Linked DNA regions of Mytilus edulis. The protein of the gene in region 1 purifies or fractionates together with the protein of each later gene. This does not show direct contact. Links are inferred from orthologs where the notes say so. Each region holds a gene or a part of one and is shown on either strand. Other genes may lie near its edges.

Region 1 (7,958 bases):
GCCAACAAAACTGACTGTCTTACATGAAATTATCCATATGATGTAGAATGTGACATTGACGGTTGACCCCGTTCAAAGAAACCACCAGCATGTACACACAACAATGCTGCAATGCTTTAGACAACATTGGTCTAGAGACTTCATGATTTACATGTATAAAGCTTTTAAATGTAAAAAAAAAAAAAAATTCCCTACCTACCTACCCACCTGCTGATAGTGTGGGTCGGCAATGCCAAACAAACAATTTTTTAAGGGTGGCCTTATTTAATAGTAAAAAACAATCTGTCTTAAGGAAACTATCTATCTAATGAAAGAGACAATAACCCGACCATAGAGAAGACAACAGCTGAAGGCCACCATTGGGTCTTCAATGTACCCATGTAAATTTTTTCTCAATTAAAAACATTTTAAATGTGATGTATTTGAGACTCACACTTAATCTTTTTACACGCAAGTTTGATGTCTTTTCTCCAAGGACAAAACTTATGGCGTCCATCAAGTTAGATTTTCCTAAAAAGAAATTTTAATATACATTTTATTAAGTTAAAATTTCAGATATCTGAAGGTCATGCATATCACAAAGATGTCAGTTCGGGCATAAAGATGTACAAATGTTAAAAAAAATGAATATTACAGCTACAAAATAATGAATATAACAGCTACAAAAAAAGATAACATGTTAAATGCATGTACGTTTGTTTATTCTTGTTTTGTTTTAAGAATTGAGAAAATGTTCCCAATTAGTGTCAATATATCCAATTAGTTTGCATTATCAATGTGAATAGTGTTCACATATCTGCCTAATTAATTAAGTCTATCTTTAAGGTACATAAATGTGTGTCAATTCCTGATGTCATCATATATTTCAATTGTTTTAGTAGAAAAACTTTACATTCAGGTTCTATTTTTTCACATGTAGAGACAGGTAATAAGTGGTATTGCATTTAAAAAGAGATTCAATTGATGTCATTCACATGCAGTTACTTTACAAGGTAATTTTAGTTATTTGTGCAGAAAAGTAATTTTTTCCTTGTCAGCCTTTTAAAAGCTTATTACTATGAGTTTTTAAGAATCTTCATTCTGCATGGCCCGAGGTCAGTGATATGATATCAAATCAATAACAAGAATTTGTCATTTGAATCAACTTAATTGAATATAGTCTGTATCTGAAACAATTCTGGAGAATGGGCCTTTGAGCTAATTTAACAAAGTAATTGGCAAGTTTACATGATGCAGCCACATGTAGTAAGTGTGTTTGAATCTCATATAGTTTGTTTTTTTTGTATTTAGAATGTCTTTTTTTATCCCTTCTTTTTTAAAATTTAATTTCAATAATTTTTCAAATGTTGCTTCAGTTAAGCGTTTTGCTGTAAAGTAATAGTTTTTTAATTTATTGTTTTAAAATAAAGTGAAGATCTTTGAACTACATGAACTATGTCAAAAGGTTTTCTTTACCAATATGTATAATAGTCATATAATGACATACAAATATTGTCATTTTGATCATAGGCTAAGTTCATCATGTTCATTCTTAAAAAGACGGCTACTTAGTTCCTGCATTTTTGCTTAAATTTCTAATGTCACATGTGCTTAAATTATTACATTAATCGTCATTATCACACGACACAGTAATAACAGGTAACATGATTGACTGAATAACACTTGTAATGACCAAATAACACTTGAAATTTTAATAAGGGGACGAAGTCCCCAATTACGGTAGAAAAATCAATAAAAAAAAAAAAAAAATTCCCGAATTTTCCATTCTACTAATGAACTCAAAATCGTTAACTTTTTTTTTCAGATCTACTTCCTGTTCCGGTTTTCTCTGCTTTTGCGCAGATATCTGTCTTGTTTGCATGAGACTTTGAAAAAATTTATATTTATCAGTCTAGTAAAATATATTAAGATTGGATCTCAATACAAATTCAATTTTAATAATTGTTTGATATGAAAAAACATTACCTGATGAAAGCGTTTCTTTTGTTTACATCGAATATGACGTCATAACTTAAAGAACGTCACAGCTAATTCCCTAACAACAGAATCAAAATCAGGAACGTTACGTACGGTATTTCGGTTTCTTTTATCAACGTGATTGAATAAAAAAAATAATACATAGAGACTTCGTCCCCATTCACAGGTTATGCCTGCCTCATATTATTAACACATGTTGCCACAGTTGGTGTCTTTTAAACATTGATTATTTGATAATCAATGTTTAATAGTTACCAATATGTGCTTATATCAAAATATTAGGATAATACCAGTGTTATTCGGTCATTCGATGTATCGCAGCAGGATCGGATCCAGCCATTTTAAAAAGGGAGGGTTCTCAACCAGGAACAAAGGGGGGTTCTTACTATATGTCCCCATTCAAATGCATTAATCGTCCAAAAAAATAGGGGGGTTCCAATCCCCAGTACCCTACCCCTTGATCCGCCACTGCGCATTAATAACTGATCATTGACATTGTGATTGTTCAACGATGCTGAATCCAACAATTATTTGTGTTATTTGTAGAGCGGTCAACAATTCACGGGTATAGAAAATGGTCTGATCATCCAGATGTATTTCAAGTGGTCTTGATGGTGGCGCATTCAGCCTCATAAATTCCCAAAGGGATTACCTCCCCTGTGATTGGCACCATAATATTGCCAACCAAAAACGTTCTGTGCTTTATTTGAAGGACTTAAAAATAATGCTTTTTTCAACTAAGACGCTTGATTTTGTATATGGTTTTGTGTGCTACCTTTTATCAATAAAGTATAATTTACCTGAACCATTTGGACCAATTACAGCAGTAAATTTGTTGAAGGGTCCAATCTTTTGTTTACCACGATATGATTTGAAGTTTTCCACCTCGATGTATTTCAAGTGACCTGGCATTTTGAACTAGAAGATATTTGTTGTAAGTTGTGAGGTGGGTGGTTGGAAGAGATCACGATTTTAACTTCTACGTTAAAAGAAAATGTAAATATTTTGGTTTACATTATGAATGCAAATTTTTAGCGCCAACAGACGTCGCTTCCCATTGTTCTCGTTTTTACCGAGATTAGTGCGAGACTAATCGGCGGTGAAAAAATCCTCAGAAATAATTTGTTGAAAATGTCATTGTAGTTAAAAAGGTTAAAATATATCATCACATATTATTTGGTTAATGTATATTGACATATTTATATGCATATTGTTTTTGTAAATGATCAGTCATGTATTCATATGTTTTGTAGATACGCAGTCAACTTCCGGATAACAACCGTGTAAACTTAGCAACGAGATAATCAGTGAAGCTGTCGGATTTCTTCCAGTGTTTATCTTTAACTTGTTTTCAAAATGTACAAACTCGATCTTCCAGTAGATTACAAGGAAGCGGCTGCAATTGAGCGCCGTAGGTTGATGGAAGATCAAAGAAAGTCAAGAATCTTTAATTCTAAATGCAGAACTATTGGGGTAAGAATATCCTCATTCATTTGCATTATGCATTATGCAAAAGTTAAGGTTTACTTTCCCACATCTACGTTGTATCACCATTGTACCCAGGGGCGTATCCAGCCATTTTAAAAAGGGGGGTGCCCAACCCAGGACAAAAGGGGGGGGGATCCAACTATATGTCCTCATTCAAATGCATTGATCGTCCAAAAAAAAAGGGGGGTTCCAACCCCCAGAACCCCCCCCCCCCCCCCCCCCCCCCCCCCCGGATTCGCCAATGGTACCAATTTGTAGGTCTCTATCCACTTCAGTACACCTACCACTACCACTGAAAAAGTATATAACAAAATTCGAAAGCAGTATTCTTCCTTAATCCGGGTTTGTTCGCCCTGATTCACGTTCTCCCTAGTTTCTGTTTGCCCTGATACCTGTTCGCCCTGAGTCCATTTTTTTTCTTTCTTATTGTTGTCTAGTTGCGTTATGTTTATTATTTGAACAGAATATGTTAAATTTTGTTGAAAATTTGCTGAATATTAGTGTTGACGCAACCATTTATAAGTTTCCCTTTGTTTTACCTAGTAGAATACTTGAATACAATATATTATGATCTATAATTTATCTTTATTGATATTTGTTTCCCCTTGGCTCTTCAGAATGAGTAATATGAAGCGTAGAAATTATGCATGCATCTTAAAATGTTAAGTCTGAATCTCCTACTAGGGTTAACATTATCTTTGTAAGGCTTCTAGATCTGCTACCTGTTGAGCTTGGGATGGTTATTAGTTTTACAAGTTTGCAGAAAATATATCCTCATTTATATGAATTGTGCAACTAGCTAAAGAGTTTGCTAAAATACAAATAGCTAAAATATCGATCATGAGGTGAAACAATTAAAAGATTGACTTTCAAATTCATTTTTTTCTCTGTGACAGTAAGAACTCATTATTCACTGATATCATTTACACTATGTACACAATGGTAACTCATTCATTAAAAAACAATTTGGTCTAAGAGAGCAGATCTGCAATTGTTTAATTTTTTGAAGAAGGCAATCACTTTCAATGTACATTGACTCAAGAACAAACAAAATTGAACATTAATAAACTGTCACCTTAGTAGATGTATAATAGTCACCATTGTTATTAAAATGTTTTCAACTTTTTATTTAATTTTAGGTAGACTTACAAGCTATTGAACAACAAGTTAGAGACAAAAAGGAACAGGAGGATTATGAACGGAAAAGAAGTGAAGCTTTCGGTAATTTTTCTTTAAAAGATATTTTTATTGTTAAAAAGTTACTCACAAATGTATGAACTAAGCAACTTCAGCATGTTTTACAGATGCTTAAGAATCATTTAGAATGTGAAGAATACTCTTTTACACTATTACAACTTACAAGTAACAAATGATATATAAGGTAATAGTTTTACATGCAGATATTTTATTTCACACAATTGATACATGGATCAGAAAAGTAAAGTTCTTTTTATAATATTAAGAATATTGAATTCACATTCAAAATGATATCATTTTAACCTTATTGACATGTACATGTATAAAAGGAAATATATAAAATTGAGAATGGAAATGGGGAATGTGTCATGTATCTAGAGAATGCACTAAGAAGACTAAGAAAACACATTAAACATTCAAAAGATATCTTGCAGTCAACATAATATTTTCTTCAAAAAATATACAAGTGGCTTGATTATATGCTATAAATTGGCTCTTATCATACCAAGCTCTAAATTAGCTTATGTTATACCTGTATGAATAAGATATGGAAAGAATTAAATTTAGAAGAGATGGCTAAATTTCTGCCACCTAGTTCTTTTAAGGAAAAAAAATAATTATAAACACATTTAAAGACAACAATATTAGAAGTTCTCATCGTGGTAAAGACTCACCATTATATGACAGAGCCAAACAATGTGGAACAATAGATGTAAGAATATTTGGAGTCTCTTTAAATGCTGTAATTATATCATTTTATTTTCAGCTGCTGATGCTGTTAGAAATGACAAAATTTCTGAGATGTTAGAGAAAAGACAGGCGCAAGATGTGAGAGCATTAAATCAGGCATTAAATGATTTCCGATCTTTACACCAACAGCCAGATGGTCGTAGAGAGTTTGATTTATATGACCCTGATTATTTGAAGAAGGACAAACCTGGTCGTGTCAGTGACGATGATCCAAGATGTGGTATTTCAAGTATTCAAAAATTTGAAGGTAAAGACTGCTTTTTTACATTCAATATTTTTACTGTAAAGGTTTAGGTATCAAGTTTAGTTGAAAGTCTCTAGAATAGTTTAGAATATTCACATTCTTTCTCATTGATCTTAGTGTGTTTTGAAACAAAATAGACAGTAATCAAAATTAAGTGCTTTAAACTGTACATACATTTCTACATGTTTATCCTTTTCTCAATACAGGTGAAGATCTTAATAATAAGGCAAGAACAAAATTCCAACAAGAACAATTAAGAGAATGGTCAACACAACAAGCCAATGAAAAAGATCAAGCTAGACGTAATCAAGATGAGGCAGATCGTTTATATCAACTGAAAATGAGGGAATTAGATCAACGAGGAATGGAACTTGAAAAAGCTGAAGATGATTGTAAACGGGCAATAAATATGGCCACCACAGATTACAATAATGCACTAGTAAGTAGTATATGATGAATTGGGTCTTGGTACAATGTACTGACAAAGAAACAAATATTTGATCATTTATATAATTTTTAGAGGTTTTCAGTTCTTGATCATTCAGCTTTAATTGTAAAAGGAAATAAGTATTATCTACAGTATGAATAAATGTCATTGTGGGATTCAGTAAACATCTATTTACAGTACCAACTTTTTACTTGTTTTCATTGTTACATATTATTATCATAAAAATTAAACAATAGTGGTAGAAGTTATCTCCCCTGAAATGTATGTATTTGTCCTATGAAGTAAGTATTTCTGGATAGATTCACCAAACATTTAATTTTTATTTATTATGACAAAAATATTAATTAATATATTACATTGTTTAGGCAAGAGAAAGAAATGAACGTGAGAGACTAAAGAAACAGCAAGAATTTGATGATAACATGACAGAAATCGCCAATCACATATTTGGTGATACTTTAACAGAGAACCCTGCTGTTGCTCAAAGTGCATTTGGTCCTCATCGTGTCATCCCAGACAGATGGAAGGGAATGAGTCCACAACAGTTAGAGGCTATACGAAAGGAACAAGAAAAACAAAGGCTAGAGAAACAGGTTTGTGATAAACATTACCACTAAAAGCAATTTTTAATTATGATTGGCAAAGGATCAAAACTCTTTCCTCTAATTTTGCACATTAAGTTTAAAAATAAACATGTATATTTCACTTTAAAATAATGATTTAGTTACTTAGTTAATTTTTTGTCTTATTTAATAGAAACACTTCTTGTTATTATATTTGAAATAGCTCTGGTCGTGATATAGATTTTTTGTGTTCTAATTTGTAACCTCAATCGAACATAAAACATTTATCAATATAATTCAAAACTCTCACATGGGAGTAGTCACTAGCAAAAGTCAAGTGCATTTTTATTCGGGTAATAAGTACACGTAATTCTTTTTATATCAATGAGAATTGTCTGTCTCAAACTGGCACTGCCACATCAATATTTGCGACTCCTCTTGGACTATCAACCTGTTACTAAATAATTTTTATAATTATTTATTTGGAAAAAAGCATCTAGAGCACTTGACTGCAATGACTCGAATGACTTTAACTACTATCAAACCCCCCGTGCATGAAATTCTTCCGCATACTTTATATATCCAATCAAACAGACCTTTCTTTAAATAGCATAAACACATGTTTCTTACCAAACCTAACAAACTAGCATCAATATATTTACAACTTTGATGCAGCACACAACAATCACTTATCAATCAATAAATCCAACAAACAAGCTCCTTTCAACATCCTACTAGACCATAAGCCAATAGAGGCTCTCAGTTCAAAATTGATTGTTTTACTTTTATTTTATTTCAAGTTTCTTATTACATTAATACATGTACATATTATAGTATTGATATTATTTTTAAGAATAACTTCAGATAGAGAGACCATATACTCAGTATATACAAGTAACATACTATAAAGAGGAATTGGTATCCTTAACTTATCAGTTATGTATGTTGTCAATAGGTCTAATATGGAAAAAAAAAGCTTTGAATTGAATACTCATGCAAACAATTTTTTTGTCAGGTTGATATTGAAAATTTAGTATTGTTTAAAATTAGTAATTTTTCCTCCAATTTTCTTTTGTTTATAGCGAAGAGACCAGGAAGATGAACTAAGAGAAATTGAACATGCAAGACAAGCTAATGCCAATGCCCGAGCTGGTATGTTGTTAGAGAGAGAGATGGACAGGAAACACAAAGACATCAACAGAGAAATGGCCGATGAAAACAGACGTTTAGGTCTTGAACAGGAATCACACAAACAGTATTTGGAGAAAGAAGTGTACACCAACCCACCAAC
Region 2 (8,072 bases), on another chromosome or scaffold:
CATTACAGACATCCGAGGCAATTATTACTGACCAAGGACATAAAACAGGGCCATTATAAAAACACCCATTTCTTAATACATTTTTTAACCAACTGAAAAAGTGTATGTGGTGCTGCCAACTTGGTGTACTCTCTTACTCTTTTAATGACAGTTTAGTTTGAAAAAAAAAATTGTACTTCACCATGATCAAGCTTTAAATATCCCAAATATCCAAGATATTAAGTTGAAAGAAACCAATTTATGTGTTGAAAAACGGGATGAACAGTGATCCCTTTATATGGTTCTTTAATGTTTGTTGCTGGTTACTAAATTAAATAAATTACAAACAGGTATTATACTCTTTACAGCTTAATTTTATTAACTTTATTAAAAACCCTAACTGGGCTTAATATAGACAAGCTGGGCATTAATACAGGGCCATTACAGAAAAACAGGGCCATAGCAGAAATAACAGGACCATTGCAGAAAAACAGGGCCATTACAGAAAAACAGGGCCATTACAGAAAAAACAGGGCCATTACAGAAAAACAGGGCCATTACAGAAAATACGTTATTTTCAATAACCAGTCATTTTTGGCAATAATGCACTTAGTTGGTTAATAAAATATAATATTGCACTCTAAATATGCTATGGCAACATTGCACTCACAATATGCTATGACAATATTGCACTTTTGATATGCCACGGCAATATGATATTCTTAAATGCCACAACAATATAACGCTTTTAATTATTATGGCACGACAATATTACACACTTCTTATGCTATAATAATGTCACACTCAATATGTTACGAAAATCGAACTCAATATGCCAAGATAATATTGTACTCTTTCCATTGTAGGTAATGGATCAGCTATATAGCTAAAGATTGAACTTGAATAAACCAAGCATTCAAAGACTCAAAAAGATGATTTTTATAGGATTATTTGGTTAACACCGCATGTCATATATATATATCTCTGTTGTAGGGTTGTCACTGACTCAATTTAGCTGATCTGTAACAATAACATCTTCATGCCTTATATATCATGTACTGCAGTACGCCGCTAGATTAAAACTGACGTGGAAAGGTAACACACGGCCAGCGAAAGCTCTTTTTTGAGAGCCCAGGTGGTCGTGTGGTCTAGCGGGACGGCTGCAGTGCAGGCGATTTGGTGTCACGATATCACAGTAGCATGGGTTCGAATCCCGTCGAGGGAAGAACCAAAAATTTGCGAAAGCAAATTTACAGATCTAACATTGTTGGGTTGATGTTTAGACGAGTTGTATATATATATATATATATATTCATAGGGGAAACAAATTGAAAATATTCCAATAGAAAGGTTCTGCAGAGGTGGTGCAAATTTAACTGTAACATGACAAGAATACAACGAAAGACATGAGCAGCTAGTTTGCAATTGTACATGTAGCAGTTCAGGTTTGAAACTTCAAGAAATCGTGTCACTCTCCCTACACAAGGCAGTGGAATTAAAGCCCAAAATTCCAATTGGAAATAGCTGCTTATTTATATATGCAGCGCATCTAAACGGACGTACCCTGCTAAGCATTTGCAATTCCAGGGTAAACGTACTTCTATTCTTACTCCATTCAACTCTTGGTATCATTTTATGAAGGATATAAATTAACTATTAGATTTTAACTGCCTCATATACCGGAATATATTCAAAAACGTGCCGATGAGAAAAGGAGTTCGGTTTGTTCCCATATCAATACCGATTGTCTATTGAATTACACTTTCATCATAAAAACACATATGGGGTCAATAAAACAAATCAAGCTAGCCTCATTTCAGCTCAGTTCTAATCTTTCGTTTAATTCGAAGTAAAGTTTAACCGTTCCTACAATTAGTCAAGCTATGAGCAATTTAATTCAAAAGATCTAATTAAATTGAATTGCAACTGGATGGTAAGCTAGCAACACTCATTACAACAAATACAATAAATTGAATCGCCTTGGTATTCTCATGACTGTGTGCTCATCTAGAGTTCCGCCGGAGGTCATGATTTCAATTCAGGGACGGGTAAAACATAGACTTGAACATTTGTATGTGTTGATTCTCAGTTAGGCATGTGGCATTTACGGCTAAGAGTTAGGCATGTGACATTTATGAGTAAGAGCAACGATTTGTAGGCTTGGATGCAGAATAATGTGTCTGGGTAGCATGTTTTCCTTAAGATTGTTACCTTGTCCGTCTAGTACAGAGAATGGTTAAAAATAATATCACACTAACATGTTCTCGTCCTGTATATTCAATTAATATGACACTGGACATTTAACAGCATCGTCGTCTATAATTGATGAAAACATTTTTGTTTTGTATCGAGCACATATTCTAAAACTTAATAAGAGAACATGAAGGTTTTCCGCAATTTATTCTCTCTTTCCATAATGTATAAGCAGTTGCTTTCTGGTTGGAAATTGACATGCTGCTCAATGTAAGATATATGGATATATCAATAAATATATATGACCATATAATTATAATGAAAATACATGTATAAAATTTGCAGTGATGTGAGTTTTATTTGCTCCGTGTTGAGGGCCTCACTGTGACTTTGAGATGAAGAACGGCAATAAAAGCGCTGTTCCTTTGCTTTTTGTGTGTTTTGTTGTTGTTGTTGTTGTTGTTGTTGTGGTTGTGCATTAACTGATTTTGTGTTATGGATGGATACACAATATCCTTTGTTTTTCCATTATTTAGATCATTATAATACCTCTCTGTCGTGACTGGGCGTGAGGATGGCATATTAGTACGACAGGTACATATAAAATCAAAATGTAGAGATATGTTCTACGTTCAAACTTTGTACTTTGTACGTTTTTGTTTAAAATAGTGTATTATCAGTGATTTTGTGGTGCTTTTCATGGGCCCATTCAATAGAAAATAAACTTATCCAAGTTCTACCTCGCCATCGTGATACAATGAATAGTTAGGGTTTTCTATATATATGATATACCCGGTATGTATGAAATATACAACAGCTGAATGATTAGCTTGAAGTCGTCTATAGCTCTCACGGATGCGGCCAACCTATTTAGTCCTGCTGAGATCCATATTGTGTGGATAGTTTCAAGAGTCCTCTGTCTTTAGCGCAAAAATCTGTTGAGGTCCATAATGTGGGGAGCATTTCACGAGTTCTCGGTCGTTAGAGCAAACATCTACTGAGGTCCATAATGTGGGGAGCATTTCACGAGTCCTCGGTCGTTAGAGGAAACATCTACTGAGGTCAATGTGGGGAGCATTTCACGAGTCCTCGGTCGTTAGAGCAAACATCTACTGAGGTCAATGTGGGGAGCATTTCACGAGTCCTCGGTCGTTAGAGCAAACATCTACTGAGGTCAATGTGGGGAGCATTTCACGAGTCCTCGGTCGTTAGAGCAAACATCTACCGAGGTCAATGTGGGGAGCATTTCACGAGTCCTCGGTCGTTAGAGCAAACATCTACTGAGATCCTTAATGTGGGGAGCATTTCACTCGTTAGGGCAAACATCTACTGAGGTCCATAATGTGGGGAGCATTTCACGAGTCCTCGGTCGTTAGAGCAAACTTCTACTGAGGTCAATGTGGGGAGCATTTCACGAGTCCTCGGTCGTTAGAGCAAACATCTAACGAGGTCAATGTGGGGAGCATTTCACGAGTCCTCGGTCGTTAGACAAAACATCTACTGAGGTCAATAATGTGGGGAGCATTTCACTCGTTAGAGCAAACATCTACTGAGGTCCATAATATGGGGAGCATTTCACTCGTTAGAGCAAACATCTACTGAGGTCCATAATATGGGGAGCATTTCACGAGTCCTCGGTCGTTAGAGCAAACATCTACTGAGGTCAATGTGGGGAGCATTTCACGAGTCCTCGGTCGTTAGAGCAAACATCTACCGAGGTCAATGTGGGGAGCATTTCACGAGTCCTCGGTCGTTAGAGCAAACATCTACTGAGATCCTTAATGTGGGGAGCATTTCACTCGTTAGGGCAAACATCTACTGAGGTCCATAATGTGGGGAGCATTTCACGAGTCCTCGGTCGTTAGAGCATACATCTACTGAGGTCAATGTGGGGAGCATTTCACGAGTCCTCGGTCGTTAGAGCAAACATCTACCGAGGTCAATGTGGGGAGCATTTCACGAGTCCTCGGTCGTTAGACAAAACATCTACTGAGATCCTTAATGTGGGGAGCATTTCACTCGTTAGGGCAAACATCTACTGAGGTCCATAATGTGGGGAGCATTTCACGAGTCCTCGGTCGTTAGAGCAAACATCTACTGAGGTCAATGTGGGGAGCATTTCACGAGTCCTCGGTCGTTAGAGCAAACATCTACTGAGGTCAATGTGGGGAGCATTTCACGAGTCCTCGGTCGTTAGAGCAAACATCTACTGAGGTCCATAATGTGGGGAGCATTTCACGAGTCCTCGGTCGTTAGAGCAAACATCTACTGAGGTCCATAATGTGGGGATCATTTCACGAGTCATCCATGACTTTTATTTTGTCTTATAAAACACATTTCGATCTTCTCTTGTGCCCGCCTGAGGTGTTGCTTATTGGCCATGATTGACATTTAAAAGTAATTTATACATGTAGATAAAATAATTAGCCGCACTTGCCGTAACTTGGTAGATCTTAAAACTAAGTTACACTAAAAGGATAGCAGGAATTATCAAAAATTTAAGCCGAAACAATAGACCAAGCTGTATGTGTTATTACATCATAATGCCAACAAAAACATTTTATGTCAACGAATATTTACAGATAACATATTTTACATGTGACTCTTTCTTTTAAAGGACAAATATCTATAAAAAAAATATTTCCATTCCATGGATAAAATTTAATATATAACCAATTCATGAGTATGTTGTTCTAAATGTTGCTTTAATTATTTACAGTAGTGCTTTTAATCATTATTTAATAATGTGCAGGTGATTGGGGAAAAAATGGGTCAAAGGGAAATAACACTTACTGATTAGTTGAACTATTTTTAAAGTTATTTCCCCTTTGATTTACGAAACAATGCCTGTAAAATCTGTCCTGAAAGACAAGTGCGATGAGAGTGCGCCTGCGTACAACTGTTATTGTTAGAATTTTCAAAATGGCGCTGTACAGGCGATAGCTGCCGATTGTGTTTGTATATCATGCAGATTTGTTTTTAACAGGTGAATTGAAAATGGGAGTTTTTCATTACAATATTATGCATTTACGCAACATTTTACTCAAAGAATTTGGCGCGACACGTTCTCAGATGGACGAATGAACGCAATCTTTCTCTTGTACGAGTTATCTTACCTCCTCAAAATGATCAATCTTTTTTCGCCTTTTCTGATAGATATGCACATTGATTTACGTCTAGCTTAGAGTTATTTTTTTGAGATATTAAACTACTTTCTGTGAAAAACAAATAATTGACGATTATATTGTTCCTCGTAGCTACATCAGGATCAACTAAGATCTTGTTGTATTGCGTATAAATTATAATTTATACTTTTCAAATCGAGATCATGGCAGATGACTTGGCATGTTGTTTGTGCATACTTCATACTTTAAAAAAATCTTTGCTTTTACCTTTACTACAACAACTATTTAGGTATTTTGTCAAGATGAATGTTAGCCTGGCATCCGGCCCAATCTAGCTGCGCCTCGTATACTGACAAGATTAGCCAGGACCCCAGGCTAGATGAATGTGGACTAGTCTACAGCTGTTCATATTCAAGTTTGGATATTATCACCACTTAGCTTTAAACATATTTATTTATAGTGGATTGGGAAACAAATTATATACTGCAAATACCTATTTGTTCGCTATTACTGTACATCTCAAAGGTTCCATTAAAATTTTGATGTAATAAATACAAATTATCTGACGCCCACAATGGAAAAGTGATTGTGGTAGGATGTCAATAGTTTAGAAGGGTCCGATTATCTGGTCAAGCAGGACAGATTTCTAAATAGCAATAAGGTGTATTGGTATTATACCCCTAAAAGAATCTGAGTCTGTTCGCGCCCATTCACGTTCGCACCCTATCACGTCCGCTCCCTTTCACTTTCACACCCTACACGTTCGCGCCAGATTTTTATTGGTTTTGTGTTTAATAACTTTATAATTAAGTTTTGGCAAGTCAGTGTATTCCTATAAGTATATTTGTTGTCATTGTCCTAAATTAAATTAAGACGTGTTTGTTGTGTTGAATAAATCGTAATCTTTTTTTGGTTAAGTGTATTGCTAACTTTTATTTCATTGTTTCAAAATAAATTGAGACTATAACAAGGTATTTGTGTTGAATAAATTTTAAGCATGTTTTGGTTAGTGCATTGCTATGATTTTTTTGTTTCATTGTTTCAGATCAAAGGAGCCAAGCTGTTAAAATCTTTTAGTGTTTTTCATTTAAAATCTTCAATGTTTTTACTCATACCAAGCTAAATACATGCAGTATTTACATCATTAAATTCTATTTTCAATTGTTGGGTATAATTTTCAATAATGACCCATAGACAAGGTGAATATCTAAAACTGTTAACACAAGAAGTTTAAGTATAATAATTTTGAAGGGTTGACAATTTTGACATTCATCGCTTCTAAGGGGCCACAATTGTTTTATTATACCAAACTAACAGTGGAAGGGTATTTTGAATCACTAAGAGCACTTTACTTACTTTAGTCAGTAGACATACAAAGTTTATGTTCAAAAATACATTAGTGTCTTAGAATTCTTGTTTGTACAACCAATGATTTGTATAGTATAAACAAGCCAAAGGACCATTTATGAGAGATATCATCGGCACAAGATGATCTTCCAAATTCTTATTTCTTATTCTCTTGATCGATGGTCTTCCAGTAACGTGAACTTTGCACTTTTGTTTAATTACGTCTGTGACATCTCTTTCATGGGAGATAACTTATGTAATAATCAAGAAACCAAAAAGGTTACTTGCCAGTGATTAATAGGGTTATTCTCAGCTGTTATAAATTTTTAGGCATATTTGTCCTTCCTTGCAATTAAATGAAAATTAGCTGAATTATTCCATGTCACGTGATAACATGTTACCCACTAGAATTCTATGTATAAATTAAATATATGTAAAGTATAATAAATGAATACAATTTTTACCCCAAAATGGGGATAGTACCCATTTATGAGAATTTTCCCCAATCAGATAATTGTTTGTTTCCTGTGTTACTTTTTAATTATGCTAAATTCTTTTCAGTACATGTACGTTATTTTTCAACTTGATAATTTCAAAGAAATGTGTGGACATGAATGTGGCAGCAAATGCTCATGAAGTCTATCCTTATTCTTTGTGAAAAGTCGTATTTCCCATGTTTTGTGTGTGTTCTGTTGAAATGTTTGGTATTTTTATTAACTATATATATACTTGAACTTAGGGATTATAGTGGATAATGAAGAACTGAATCTGTTATGCAAAAAAGTAAACTTCTGTATGAATATTTTACTGAAAAACTAAAAAAAACAATAATTAGTTTCAATCTGAATTTGATTTTTAATGATTAATTTTTCAGACTTGAATGAACTTTGAAATTCAATATTCATGCTTTTATATACTTATATTTTAGATACAACATGGCTACCAAATCTGCTGTTAAAACCTATGGGAAGGCCAACAGAGAAGCTGCTCAGAGTAAAGCATTTGATGATGCTCTTAAACCAAATTCAGCAGCGAACAGGTCAACATCACAGACCAAGTGGGGCAAGACTTCATTCAGTCGTTTAAGAGAAGATGATCCATTTGAAGTCACATGTAAAAAAGTCAAAATAGAGACAGAATCTGCAGATCCTTTCTCTTTTGATTTTGAAGATGGTGAGACAGTGAAAAAAGAAGTTGTTCAGGCCCCTGTTTTACCACCCCCTCCAACTTCAAACTCAGGGAGTGGATTAGGACGTCCTGCTATCCCTAATCTAAAGGTATCACATAAAGGACAAGAGCAAATTGTAGATAATTCTGAGAATATAGAGGAAAGAACAGAAGAGGAGGAAGATGAAATTCCTTTGTCTAATTTTTCTAGACGACCTGTACGTACATATTCACGTAGGAAAAAAGGGGGCGATGATGACC

The links.
Region 2: the proteins of structural maintenance of chromosomes protein 1A-like (region 1) and wings apart-like protein homolog purify together in Homo sapiens (affinity purification with mass spectrometry; 7 studies listed by BioGRID and IntAct, with this or other methods). This does not show direct contact. The link is inferred for Mytilus edulis from reciprocal best matches to the Homo sapiens genes SMC1A and WAPL.

The regions. Positions count from the first base shown.
Region 1 is NC_092344.1:98,597,104-98,605,061, reverse strand, and holds the start of structural maintenance of chromosomes protein 1A-like, read right to left. Parts: upstream 3,076-7,958; 5' UTR 2,890-3,075; coding exon 2,778-2,889; intron 511-2,777; coding exon 434-510; intron 1-433. Other genes in the region: RIB43A-like with coiled-coils protein 2, read left to right, coding at 3,334-3,450, 4,605-4,686, 5,429-5,659, 5,863-6,095, 6,470-6,697, 7,750-7,958. UniProt on the Homo sapiens protein: Involved in chromosome cohesion during cell cycle and in DNA repair. Central component of cohesin complex. The cohesin complex is required for the cohesion of sister chromatids after DNA replication.
Region 2 is NC_092352.1:23,026,359-23,034,430, reverse strand, and holds the start of wings apart-like protein homolog, read left to right. Parts: upstream 1-5,018; 5' UTR 5,019-5,158; intron 5,159-7,572; 5' UTR 7,573-7,579; coding exon 7,580-8,072. UniProt on the Homo sapiens protein: Regulator of sister chromatid cohesion in mitosis which negatively regulates cohesin association with chromatin. Involved in both sister chromatid cohesion during interphase and sister-chromatid resolution during early stages of mitosis.